Mus musculus: one gene and its partners. The protein of the gene in region 3 purifies or fractionates together with the protein of the main gene of each other region. This does not show direct contact. Links are inferred from orthologs where the notes say so. Each region holds a gene or a part of one and is shown on either strand. Other genes may lie near its edges.

Region 1 (3,746 bases), on a different chromosome or scaffold from region 3:
AGAGTTCACACTGAGAGCCTGCAGTGCTCCCACTTGGGAGGGAAGCCCCAGACCTTCAAGCAAGGGGTTATGGCTAAGATGGGAAGCAACGCTGGTCAGACAGCATCACCCAGCCTCTCATAAAGACAAGGAAGGAAAAGTAAGTCTTCCTCCTTACCCACCTCACCCTCGCAAAGGCAGAGCTCCGCAGGCCTACACCTCAGTGATCAGACACAGATCTAAGTCCCTTATCTCAGCAGCCTAGGACTCAGCAGCAAGAATAATGGCTCTCTTAAATGACAAATTTGAAAATGATTTCTTCTGGATATCTCACCCTCCAGTTGGGGCTCAGGAAAAGGCAGAAGTGAGAGCCATGCCGTAAGGAACAAAAAACAGGACAGCCAGGCTTCACAGGGTAGTAACCAGGACAGCCGGGCTCCACGGTGTAGGAAACTACGTGGACGCAGAGAAGATACCGACCTTGCAATGAATGTGGGGGAGTCAAGCCAATAGGTGCCTTAACTAAGGGGGCTCTAAATAAGGAGACAAGAGAAAGACATCCACTTCCAAGCATGACATCAGCCATCACTTGAGGGCAGGCACTCAGGCAAGATGGTTATAATAATACGGGTTTAGCCAGTCCAGGGAGCAACCCCAAAACACAGTGCAAACCCTAACACACCCACACAAACACCTCACGCCACCAATCCAGACCAGACCCCAAGCTACCTCAGAGTGGCGGAAGCCCCTAGTAAAGATCCAAGATTATGTCCACACCAAGGGCCAATTCCCTCCCTCTGCCCTCACTAGGCTACTGCATGCTGCCTCTCCTAGCCCTCCATCCTTCTCCACTCAAAAAAATCCCAACAATCTGACTAACAAAGTTCTACAGATCTGATAAAGAGTGAGATTCAAACTTTACACTCTTGAAACAGCACAGAGAACCCGTAAGAGATCGGGACAGAAAGCAACCAACACTCTCGCTTTCTTCTCCAGGGAACAACCGCGGGATCCCAGATGCCTGGCAGGGCTCCCGCAACAGAAATCCCCACCGCACCCCACCATGTCACCACCAGAGTCGGAACCACCTGCATTCCTCCAAGAACCTGCACGAGGTAAAGCTAACCCAGAGAGCTCCCTCAACCGGGGACTGCGGAGCATTCCAGACAGCCTTGAGTGAAGCCAGCTTGCATCTGGGTCCGTGGTGCCCAAGAGGCACATGGCTTCCACCTCCCCCAGCACCCCCCAGCACACAAGAGCTCCGCAGAAAAGAACCACTCCCTTCGGATGCCCTCCACCCTGGGTTCTGCACAGGGACAAGCAGCGCGCGAACGCAGCCTCACTGGAGTCTCGAGGAAAGATCAAACATCTTCCTGCCCTGGGCCCTCCGGGAAGATGTTACCTGGATGGGGTGGGGGCAGGCTGTTGTTCAGAAGTGCGTCCATATCCTCCTCCTCACTGCCCGCTGAGCAGGGGGACGGGGAGCCCAGGCCCGACGCCATCCCCTTCCGTTCCCCGGCCAGGGAATTGGCCCAGCTGCTCCTGCCTGCGGCCTGGGGCCCTCTGCACTGGCCCGAGTCACTGTGCGGGGGAGGGGGGAGAACAGTGAGTGACGCGCAGTCCCCCTCCCCCACCCGCTCTTTCCGCCCCCCTGCCCTACCACCCTAGCCAAGCACCCGAACCACTCAGGCTGAACTTAGTTCCACACTCCTCGGGGACAGCCCGTGAGCCGGCTCCCCAGCAGGAGCCCCCAAGAAGAGGGAATGACGCCCCCGAGGGCAGGCTGGTGCATGGAGGGGAAGGAAGAAGCTAGCCTGGCCTGAGCCAGGAGTGCCTGGGGAGTGGGGTTCGAGTGGGGAGGCGCGGAGAGGGTCAGGGGAGGCGGCCGGTGCTCGGGGACACAAGGTCACTTGGGAGTGGGGGGGCGCTCCTCTGCGCCCGGGGAGGGGCCAGTCCCCAGACAGGGCAGCTCTCCAAAGGCTGTCCTCTGGGACAACTCAGGTTCTCTTCCGGAACGGCGGGGACCAGGGGGCGTGGAGGCTCGGGCGCTCCGGGGTCCCGAAGAGTCGGGACGCCGGAGGAAAGCGAGCACCCACCGGGAAGGGGGCCGGGCCACGTGTCCCGGGGGGCTAGCGAGCAAAGGGCGAGGGGCGGGCGGGCAGGCGCTCGCCCGGCATTGTGGGAGGCCGAGCCCAGGAGGGGGGGGGGGCGGGGAGCAGGACTCCCTCAGGGCAGGGCGCCGTCTGGAGGTAACCCGGCCGCCTCCGGGGAAGAAGGGTCGGCTCCCTGGAGAGGGGACGGCCCGCGGGCCCCGGGACGCCTGAAGAAGGGACAGGTGAAGGAATGACCCCCGGGACGACGTCGGGCTGAGAGAGATGTCTCTCCCGTTGCCTCGCGCGCTCCTCACCCTAGAGCCGCCTCAGGTCGCGCTGGGTCTCGCCGGTGTCACTCCCGCTCCAGCTCCTCCTCGCCGCGGCCGAAGGGGGGAAAATGGCTCCGGCTCCGGCGTCGCCTCTTAAAGGGCCCGAAACACCGGCCGGGAAATCCCACCGCACAGGCCCCGCCCCCCACGGACAGCCCATAATAACCTCAACCAACTCCAACCCCCCCCTCCACTACCGCCACCCTCCTCTTTAGGTCTCCCGGGCAACCCCCGCCCCCTCGTCGCTCAGGCAACCATTGGCCACGCCCCCGTCGAGCGCGCGCGCGCGTCACCTGGGCAACCGCCCACCTCCTGGCCATCCCATAATACACACGGACACCCCACATACACACACCCCGCCCCCCACACTCTATGCATATATGTGCCCGGGGCTACAGACATATAGTGCAGATCTTTTACAAACTAAAACCTGCTCCCCCTCCCTTAGATAACCCATAATAACCACTCTTTGCCAACTTCTTCACTCTTGGCCTTACTGCTAACATCCCATAATAACTCATTACCCCTCCCTCCCCTTGGCCATCCCATAATAAGCACCCCTCCCAGCACTTCAGCCTCATATCCCATAATATTCAACCCATCCCCCACCGACATCCCATAATAACCACCCCCAGTTTGACATCCCATGATTGTCAGAAACTCACCCACCCCATACTACAACAACGGACACTGGGCCTCCTCCCACACGGATCCCGTAATAATCAGTCTCCCACTTTCTATACTGATATCCCATAATATCCAACCCCCCCAGAGCTGCCCTCAGTCCCTGCACTAGGGTTGAGATTCTAGATGCTCACTTTACCACCCACAGCCTTCCCAGTCTCTTTCTAGCTCCATGGTCCATAAATTACCATTCCTCCTAGCAAAGAGATACTCACTAATGATCAGCAGCTCTGCTGTCACCCCACAAATGGACATCTAAATCTCCTCCACTAACACTGGGAAAATGTCCTATCATTTACTCTATCTACTCTCCCATCCCATAATTTCAAAAAGCCCACGATACCATAATTGTCCCAACACAACCCAGTGCCACATCCCATAATACTTCTGCTACACTCCATCACCGCACACAGGTCTGGCCAGACATCCCCTAATTGTCACAACCTCCCCCACCTCTAGAAGTTGTCAGGCTCTTCCAACTAGAGCAGAGAGGGTGTGGCAAACTGCTAACTGCCCTGTCCCCACTAGCACACACTTTAGTCCCTTCCTGGGCAATAGGAGCATTCTGGGCTCTCAAAGTTCAGGACCCCCAGACTTCCTAGCTCATCATTTGCAGACACTCAGGAACCAAGAGCCAACCTCGAGCCCCAACAAACCCCAC
Region 2 (3,746 bases), on a different chromosome or scaffold from region 3:
GAATTACAGAACAGGGGGCTGAGCATACCGTGTGAGCTAAGTGAATATTCTACCTCTGAGCTCCACTCCAAACTCTCAAGGGGAAGCACAGGTGACGACAGCACTGGCTGGCTGGCACTAAGCGAGAAACAAGGTGCATGCACACTCAGAAAAGGGACTGTGGCCCAACCTGGGGGCGCCAGGTCTCTTCCTGGAGATAGCAGCAGAGCTGAGTCCTGAAGAATAGCAAGGAGTGTTTCTACACAGAAAAAGGAAGCCCAGAAATCCAACTTCTCTTCTTTGGGTGAAAAGATAAGTCACTGGCCCACTGTTTGCTTTTTTATTAATAAAATTTCGTCAGAAAAAAAGCCACATCTATCTATTTATGCTTCATTGTTCATGGCTCATGACTGCTTCTTGTTAAAATGACAAATGATACAGTTGTGACAGAAACTAGATGGGCCACAAAAGTTATTTTATTTACTACTTCATAGAGAAGTTTGCCAATTCTGAGCCACGAAGGTAAAGACAAAGGTGTAATAAAAGATTCGACTATCCCTATAATCTCTGCATCTAGAGCCTTGAAGTATAACACAAGGCTAGAAGTTTAAAAAACAAAACAAACAAACAAACAAAAACACAGTAATTCAGAAGAGGCCTAGTGTAAGACTAACTAATAAAACCAAACTAAAGAGTCCTTGGGAAAAAGGCATATAATGGTTTGTGAAAGAAGAGCGACATAGGGGATTTAAAGTATGTGGTAGGACATTTTTCAAATGCTGCAAGAGAGGCATTTGGGCTCTAGGCTCTTGGGCTTCAATGAAACTCTACTGCACTGTCTCTGAAGCTGAGGCTGTGCTTTATCCTAAAGACCCTCAGTGGGACTTCTTCCTGCTCTTGACAAGCTCAGAGTGACCCTGTGATCCCCAATCAATAGGCTATTGATAACTCACAAAAAACTCACAGTGGAAATATTTTATAGGGAATGGCTAGAAGCTAGCAGGAGGAAGTATAACAAGTTGAGAACAGACCACACCCACGTGTCTTTTTGTGTCACTGAAGCTAATAACAATTAGTTATAACAGAATTGCATGCAGTTCCCTCATCTTGTCAAATGGCAGGCAGATGAGTATTTTTTTCTTCCTATTCAGACATTCTGATCCTTTCCTTGGTTTGGAATCAAGCCACAAATTTTGGCCTTACAATTAGTATATTGGCTTACTAGAAAGGAGGCTTATTATGCGATTATTGCTCCGTGTAATTAAGGTGGGGGGAGAATTCTTGTACGTCTCCTGCAAGCTGGAGACTAGAGAAGGCCAGCGGCACAGATCAATGGCACAGACCGGATGCATTAACCTCGGTGATGGGAAGTCAATGGTATAGATGGGATCCGAAAGTCTAAGGACAGAGTGGTGAAGGCAGAAGGCTGGCCCTGGGGCTCAGAGTGGGCTGGGGCAAGTTCCTGTGTCCTCCATGTCTTTGGCTTAGGCTGATACTAAATTGGATGGTGCCCATTCACTGCCTACAGTCAGCACATCAGTTCAAATACCACATTCTAGAACATCCCAGAAACAGCAAACAGGCAGATATCTAGGATCTCAGAGCCCAGCCAAGCTGACACATAAGGTTAGCCATCACAACGATATGACAGGAAGCAATGAAAACCAGAATATACAACAAATTACATGAATTGGTTGACTTCACCTTACCATGGATAACAGTCTATTGATGGCCACTGCCCGCTGCTGGGCTTCAATGTGAGGCATTTCGTTCTGAATTACTTGATCTGTGATTCCATGAGGGAACTGGTGGCATAATTCTATAATTCTAGGAACAACGGTATAAATGGTTTATGTTTGCTTGCTTTTAAAGGCAAATAAGGAAGATACACGATAGTCAAGCTAAAAAGCTCAATGTTGTCAATGGGAATAAGTACAGCAAAGTGACTCCAAGGTCTGTGGGCAGAAAGCAAATAGAATATTCGGGGGTGGGGGTGGGGGGCAGCATAGTGATTCACCATAACTGGAGTCTTGAGAATTATCCCCTCCAAACAAACTGGAGGGATTAATTTGTTTGGAGGTGTAATAAACTTATTATCCACAATAATAATGTTGAGAAAGTCGTCTTTTAAATACATTATAACCTAGAAACACATGTGCACTACGGGAGTTAAGGCACTCACTGAACCTACTTGGCTCAATGGTCCTTTGTAATCACAAACTGAACCCTCATTTGGCCCCAACGTTCTCTTATAGAACTTCCCTTGGCAACCGGGCAATCCTGGATTCGAACACATGTCCAAGAACTACAGGGAAAATGCAGGTCTCTCTTCTGGCCCTGGCTGCTGTCACGTTCCAAGTGCTCTAATAGAATCCCGGAGAACCCAGTTCCACAACGTTTCAAGCTGTCCCGCTGCTCTAGAGCTTCTGAAGAGTTCTACTCTCCCTAATCGGGGCGGGGGGGTCGCCCAGACACCCGGCAACCCCGCTCCCGCGTGCTCGACCAGTCTACCCCAGCCTCTCCCCGCGGGACTGAGAGAGAAGGGGGTCCCGCTACCCAGCTGACTGCTCGCTTAGCGTCGGGAGCCTAGCTTTATTGCAGTACCTGTTTTCTATCTCCACCGGATCCGCGTCCGGCGGCTGCACCTTGACCTTCACCTCCGCCATGAGGGCAGTTTTCGAGACTAGAGGAAAAGTGGCCCCTCGGAGCGCGCTGGAAGTCTCGGGAACCGGTGGAGGCGCGCGCCGGGGACCGAGGCTTGAGAGAGAGGCGAGGGACCTTCTTCATCCGGTCGCGCTGGGCCTTCTTCATCGGATCGGCTTGGGGCGCCCGTGCTGTGCCTGCTCCGCCTTGCTCGGCAGGGTCGCCACAGCGACTCCCTTCCGTTGTCTCAAATTTCAGTGCTTGTCGGACAAGAGCCTCTGGCTCCAGTACGCACCCTTCAGCCTCTTCCAGCCGCCGAGAAGGCATATTCTTGGACACCTACAAGAAAGTGTCGCAGAAGGATCTGGAGGCGGGTACCAGACGGAGGCTGCAGCCAGAGACAAGGGCGGGGCTGGTTGCTAGGATGTCGATTTCCCTGCCAATCATCTGCTCGGCTCCCGATGGGCGGGGCGCGGTTCGCAGCGTCTGTGGAAACGCAAGCTGCAGCGGAGGAGCTGTGGTGAGACCGTGAGAAACCTGACAACGGGTTGGCGGCGGCGGTGCTGCGTCGGGGGTCCTTAATCTCTGTCCTTGAGGCTGGAGAAGGGTGAGGAGAAGGGCATCTCTCACTGGGTTGGGAGGGAATTAGGCATCTCTGACTGCCTCGCGAGGCCGAGGGCATGACGCAGGGTCTGGGTCCTGGTTTGGGCAGCGAGGAGATGGTTCAGGTGCAGGATGTTGGGAGATGCTGGTGGCATGACACTGACACCAGGCTGCGGTGTGGACCTAGCGAATCAGCCATCTCTGTCTCCTTCCTGTGAGGTCCAGTGACCACCCCAGGTTTCCAAGAGCAGCTAATAGCTAACCGTGAGCACTTCAGTCTCGAACCAACGGTGTTTATTTAGAATCTAGTTTTCAGCTATCTTTATTTTAGCTGACTCTCACTCGAAGGGAAATGTGAAGGTAGGCGAATCCCTCTACATCCAGCGTCATTTCTGAAGGGTCAGATACCTGTAGTTTTTATTCTTGGTCCTCAATCTGGAAGAATCCAAAAAGGCATTAAATTCGTCTTTTAATTCTAATTATCTCGCTTTCCAGAACAAGATATGTCAAAACGCAAACAT
Region 3 (3,746 bases):
GCTCTAGGATTCAATCCCCAGTCCCTCAGAACTGTTGTTATATAAACATCCCCCTTCCCTTTACAAGCACGCAGGAAAGCAACAGAAGGTACTCACTGTGCTGTCCTTCCCCTTGTTCTTGAACCTGTTAAGTCGGGCAGCTGGTAAGTTAGCATTCTCGTTCGTGGACATGGCTGCAGGAACAAGGAGGAAAGCTAGGAGCCAAGGGAGGGTGAGAAGAAAAAAAAAGAAACAAAGAAAAAGTATTTTTAATAAGAATGCAACAGAAGCTGGGTAGAGTAATACACGCCTTTAATCCTAGCACTTGGGAGGCAGAGACAACCAGATCTCTATCAGTTTGAAGCCAGCCTGGTCTGTAGAGAGTTCCAGGCCAGCTAGGTCTACATAGAGAAACCCTATCTTAAGATGAAACAAACAGAAATATACAATAGCATGTTATAATCAACTAAATCTCAACTCCATTTCTATACTAGATTTAAAAAGCAGCAACGGTGGCACACGCCTTTAATCCCAGCACTTGGGAGGCAGAGGCAGGTGGATTTCTGAGTTCGAGGCCAGCCTGGTCTACAAAGTGAGTTCCAGGACAGGACAGCCAGGGCTATACAGAGAAACCCTGTCTCGAAAAACCAAAAACAAAAACCAAAAAAAAAAAAAAAAAAAACAAAAACAAAGATGACGACACAACACAGCCTGGCAGTGATGGCAAAGCACTCCAAGCACTCAGGAGGCAGAGGTAAAACGGATCTGAGTTTGTGGCCAGTCTAGTATACAGAGTGAATTACAGGACAGCCTGGACTACTCAGGAAACCCTGTCTCAAAAATATATAAATAAAATAAAAACAAAACAAAATCCTACAAGTTTTCATCATTATGGCTATAATACTAAGCCATAATTGCCCCTTACTACAAAGGCAACTTAACTGTCAATCAAAAAAAATTTTAAAAAAAGATAATTTAAAATTTCCACTAACCACAGTGAGCCCCGCAGTGGTGGCGCACTCCTTTAGTCCCAGCACTTGGGAGGCGGGAGGATTTCTGAGTTCGAGGCCAGCCTGGTCCACAGAGTTCCAGGACAGCCAGGGCTACACAGAGAAACCCTGCCTCGAAAAAACAAAAAGAAAGGAAGGAAGGAAGGAAATTAATTTTAAGACTTTTACCCAATATAGCTAAACTATTACCATTTGAGGATGTCATCAATACAGAAAAATTGAGATGTCTTACTGTTTTTATACACCTTCAAAATCCAATGGGTAGTTTAAGCACACGGGGCATCTCAACAGATTAGCGGCTTTTCAAACACTCAATAGTCTTAAGCCTCTAGCCAGCACGGTATTAAGTCAAGGATCTAAATTCTAGGCTCCATTAGTTAATAGAACACCAAGTAGGAGAACAATCTACGTCCTTTGTTTGTTTTATTTTTCGAGACAGGGTTTCTGTGTGTATCCCTGGCTGTCCTCGAACTCAAATCGGCCTGCCTCTGCCTCCCAAGTGCTGGGATTAAAGGCGTGCGCCAACAATGCCTGGCAACCATCTACGTCCTTAAGGCAATAAACGCAGCTCTCGTTTTCTGTTGATCGATGGCCAAAACGGATCCATACTAGTACCCTCTTGCAAGTTACATAAAGAATCGGTTCGTTCCATTATAGGGCCTTCCATCACATCATCGCTGTCAGCAATGGCATTAACGCCGCATCTTGCACACACTTCCAGAGAATGCATTCAGCCGGGATGACATCAGCTGTGATCAGTGGGGCTCGATAGAACCCAGGTGTGGTCGTCGCGAAGGGACAGGAACCCAAAGTACCCTGGTAAGCTAGTAGGTTTAACTGCTTTATGTCCGTCCTCGACCCTGACCCAGGTGATCCGGGTCAAGGGCTTAACTGGGGTGTCTTAACTGCCACCTTCATCCCCTGCCCAAAGCTGCGTCTCCTCCCCGGGGCAGAAGCATCAGGAAAGCGGCGGCACAGCCAGGTAGGTCCGCTCGACTGCGGCTGCCCTCCGGTCCCTCCACGCCGACCCGAGCCGCTCCCAGGCCTTCGCTGCCCTCCGCAGCGCCCGGCGTTGCCAACCCTGACCCCGGCGTGGCGAAACCAACCCGCCCCGAGGCCTGGTCGGAGCAGGGAGGCTCAGCTCCGGCCCGGGCGCGGCCTGCTCCCGCCCTCCGCCCCGCAGCCTTCCGTCCGGCCGTTACTGCTCAGGACCGGCTTCCGTTCCTACCTGTACAGCCGGCTCAGATTTCCACGAAAGGTGGTGCAGGACACTCAAGCTGCGGGTCGGCGGCTGTGGAAACGTCTGCTACCCTTCAGCCCTCAGATTTTGTGCCTCGTGCTGCCGGCCGGCGCGATTTAAATTTCCCGGTGACGCCGCGTTCCGATTGGCTGATTTGAGCCTAAGCTGCGCGTTCATTGGTAGGTTTGAAAAACACGTTAGGCGGGGGTGGGGGTGGGACGCAGACGCAGGTCGTAGGGGAAAAAAAAAAAAAAAGGTGGGGGTGGGGCGGTAAGCAGGGAAGCGTCGCGAGATGAGGGAGCGGCCGGGCAATCCCAGGGTGCCTTGCAGAAGGGTGACTCCAGATCTCAGCACACAGCATGGAGACCTGCGTTTCGTCTATGCTTAGATGGACACTGGGCCGTACCCTGTTTGCTTTCCCTGGGCTTGTCCTTAAACAAACACACGAAATTATTATTACACTTGTAAAAAAAGGCTTAGCTTGCGGTGATTGGCGCAGGCTTTTAATCCCAGCACTAGGAGTTCAAGGCAAACCTGGTTTATACAGCCAGGCCAACCAGGGCTAAATAGTGAGACCCTGTCTCAATCAACCAATCAGTCAATCAATCAATAAAAGAAAAGAGAAATATATTTACTTTAAAAAAATTTTACATCAGGAGCTGGTCACCGGGAGAACGTGGATCTGTGTGCCTCTTAACCATTAGTTGTATCACTATATTGTTTATAGTATTTGTTGATTATTTTATCTTTAGGCAATCATTAGTTGTATCGCTATATTATTGTTTGTGCTATTTACTGGTTATTTAATTTTTATCATGGGGAGTGGGATTGAGGCAGGGTCTCACATTAACAATAGAGCCCAGGCTAGCCTTGAACCTAATGCAATCCTTCCTCAACGTCAGTTCTGGGATTACAGACATGCCCCACTTTGTCCCGTGTGGTAAACTTTTAGATTACTTGGAAAATAAAGACAATGGAAGCCGGGCAGTGGTGGCGCACACCTTTAATCCCAGCATTCAGGAAGCAGAGGCAGGCGGATTTCTGAGTTCGAGGCCAGCATGGTCTACAGAGTGAGTTCCAGGACAGAAGCAAAAAAAAAAAAAAAAAAAGAAAAAGAAAAAGGACAATGGAAGCAGCAAATATGGTAACAATAATTTATTAGCCCGGTGGTGGTGGCGCACACCTTTAATCCCAGCACTTGGGAGGCAGAGGCAGGCGGATTTCTGAGTTCTCTGAGTTCGAAGCCAGCCTGGTCTACAGAGTAAGTTCCTGGACAGCCAGGGCTACACAGAGAAACCCTGTCTCGAAAAACAAAAACAAAAAACCAATAACTTATTAATACCTATTTTCTCCAAACCTTTAAAATTTTTTATTTATTTCTTTATTTTGCTCCCTTCCCCCAAACACACACACACACACACACACACACACACTTAATGGGTTTCTCTGTGTCTCTGTAGACCTGACTGAACTCCACAGACCTCAGAGTGCTGGGACTAAAGGCAGTGTGCCACCAC

Evidence for each region.
Region 1: the proteins of Kpna2 (region 3) and Chd4 purify together in Homo sapiens (affinity purification with mass spectrometry; 3 studies listed by BioGRID and IntAct, with this or other methods). This does not show direct contact. The link is inferred for Mus musculus from reciprocal best matches to the Homo sapiens genes KPNA2 and CHD4.
Region 2: the proteins of Kpna2 (region 3) and Polr3f purify together in Homo sapiens (co-immunoprecipitation; 3 studies listed by BioGRID and IntAct, with this or other methods). This does not show direct contact. The link is inferred for Mus musculus from reciprocal best matches to the Homo sapiens genes KPNA2 and POLR3F.

The regions. Positions count from the first base shown.
Region 1 is NC_000072.6:125,094,901-125,098,646, reverse strand, and holds the start of Chd4 (chromodomain-helicase-DNA-binding protein 4), read right to left. Parts: upstream 2,667-3,746; 5' UTR 2,387-2,666; intron 1,624-2,386; exon of another isoform or gene 1,561-1,623; 5' UTR 1,482-1,560; coding exon 1,382-1,481; intron 1-1,381. UniProt on the Homo sapiens protein: ATP-dependent chromatin-remodeling factor that binds and distorts nucleosomal DNA. Acts as a component of the histone deacetylase NuRD complex which participates in the remodeling of chromatin.
Region 2 is NC_000068.7:144,526,763-144,530,508, reverse strand, and holds the start of Polr3f (DNA-directed RNA polymerase III subunit RPC6), read right to left. Parts: upstream 2,765-3,746; 5' UTR 2,646-2,764; coding exon 2,584-2,645; intron 1,807-2,583; coding exon 1,689-1,806; intron 1-1,688. UniProt on the Homo sapiens protein: DNA-dependent RNA polymerase catalyzes the transcription of DNA into RNA using the four ribonucleoside triphosphates as substrates.
Region 3 is NC_000077.6:106,997,142-107,000,887, forward strand, and holds the start of Kpna2 (importin subunit alpha-1), read right to left. Parts: upstream 2,385-3,746; 5' UTR 2,218-2,384; intron 195-2,217; 5' UTR 172-194; coding exon 97-171; intron 1-96.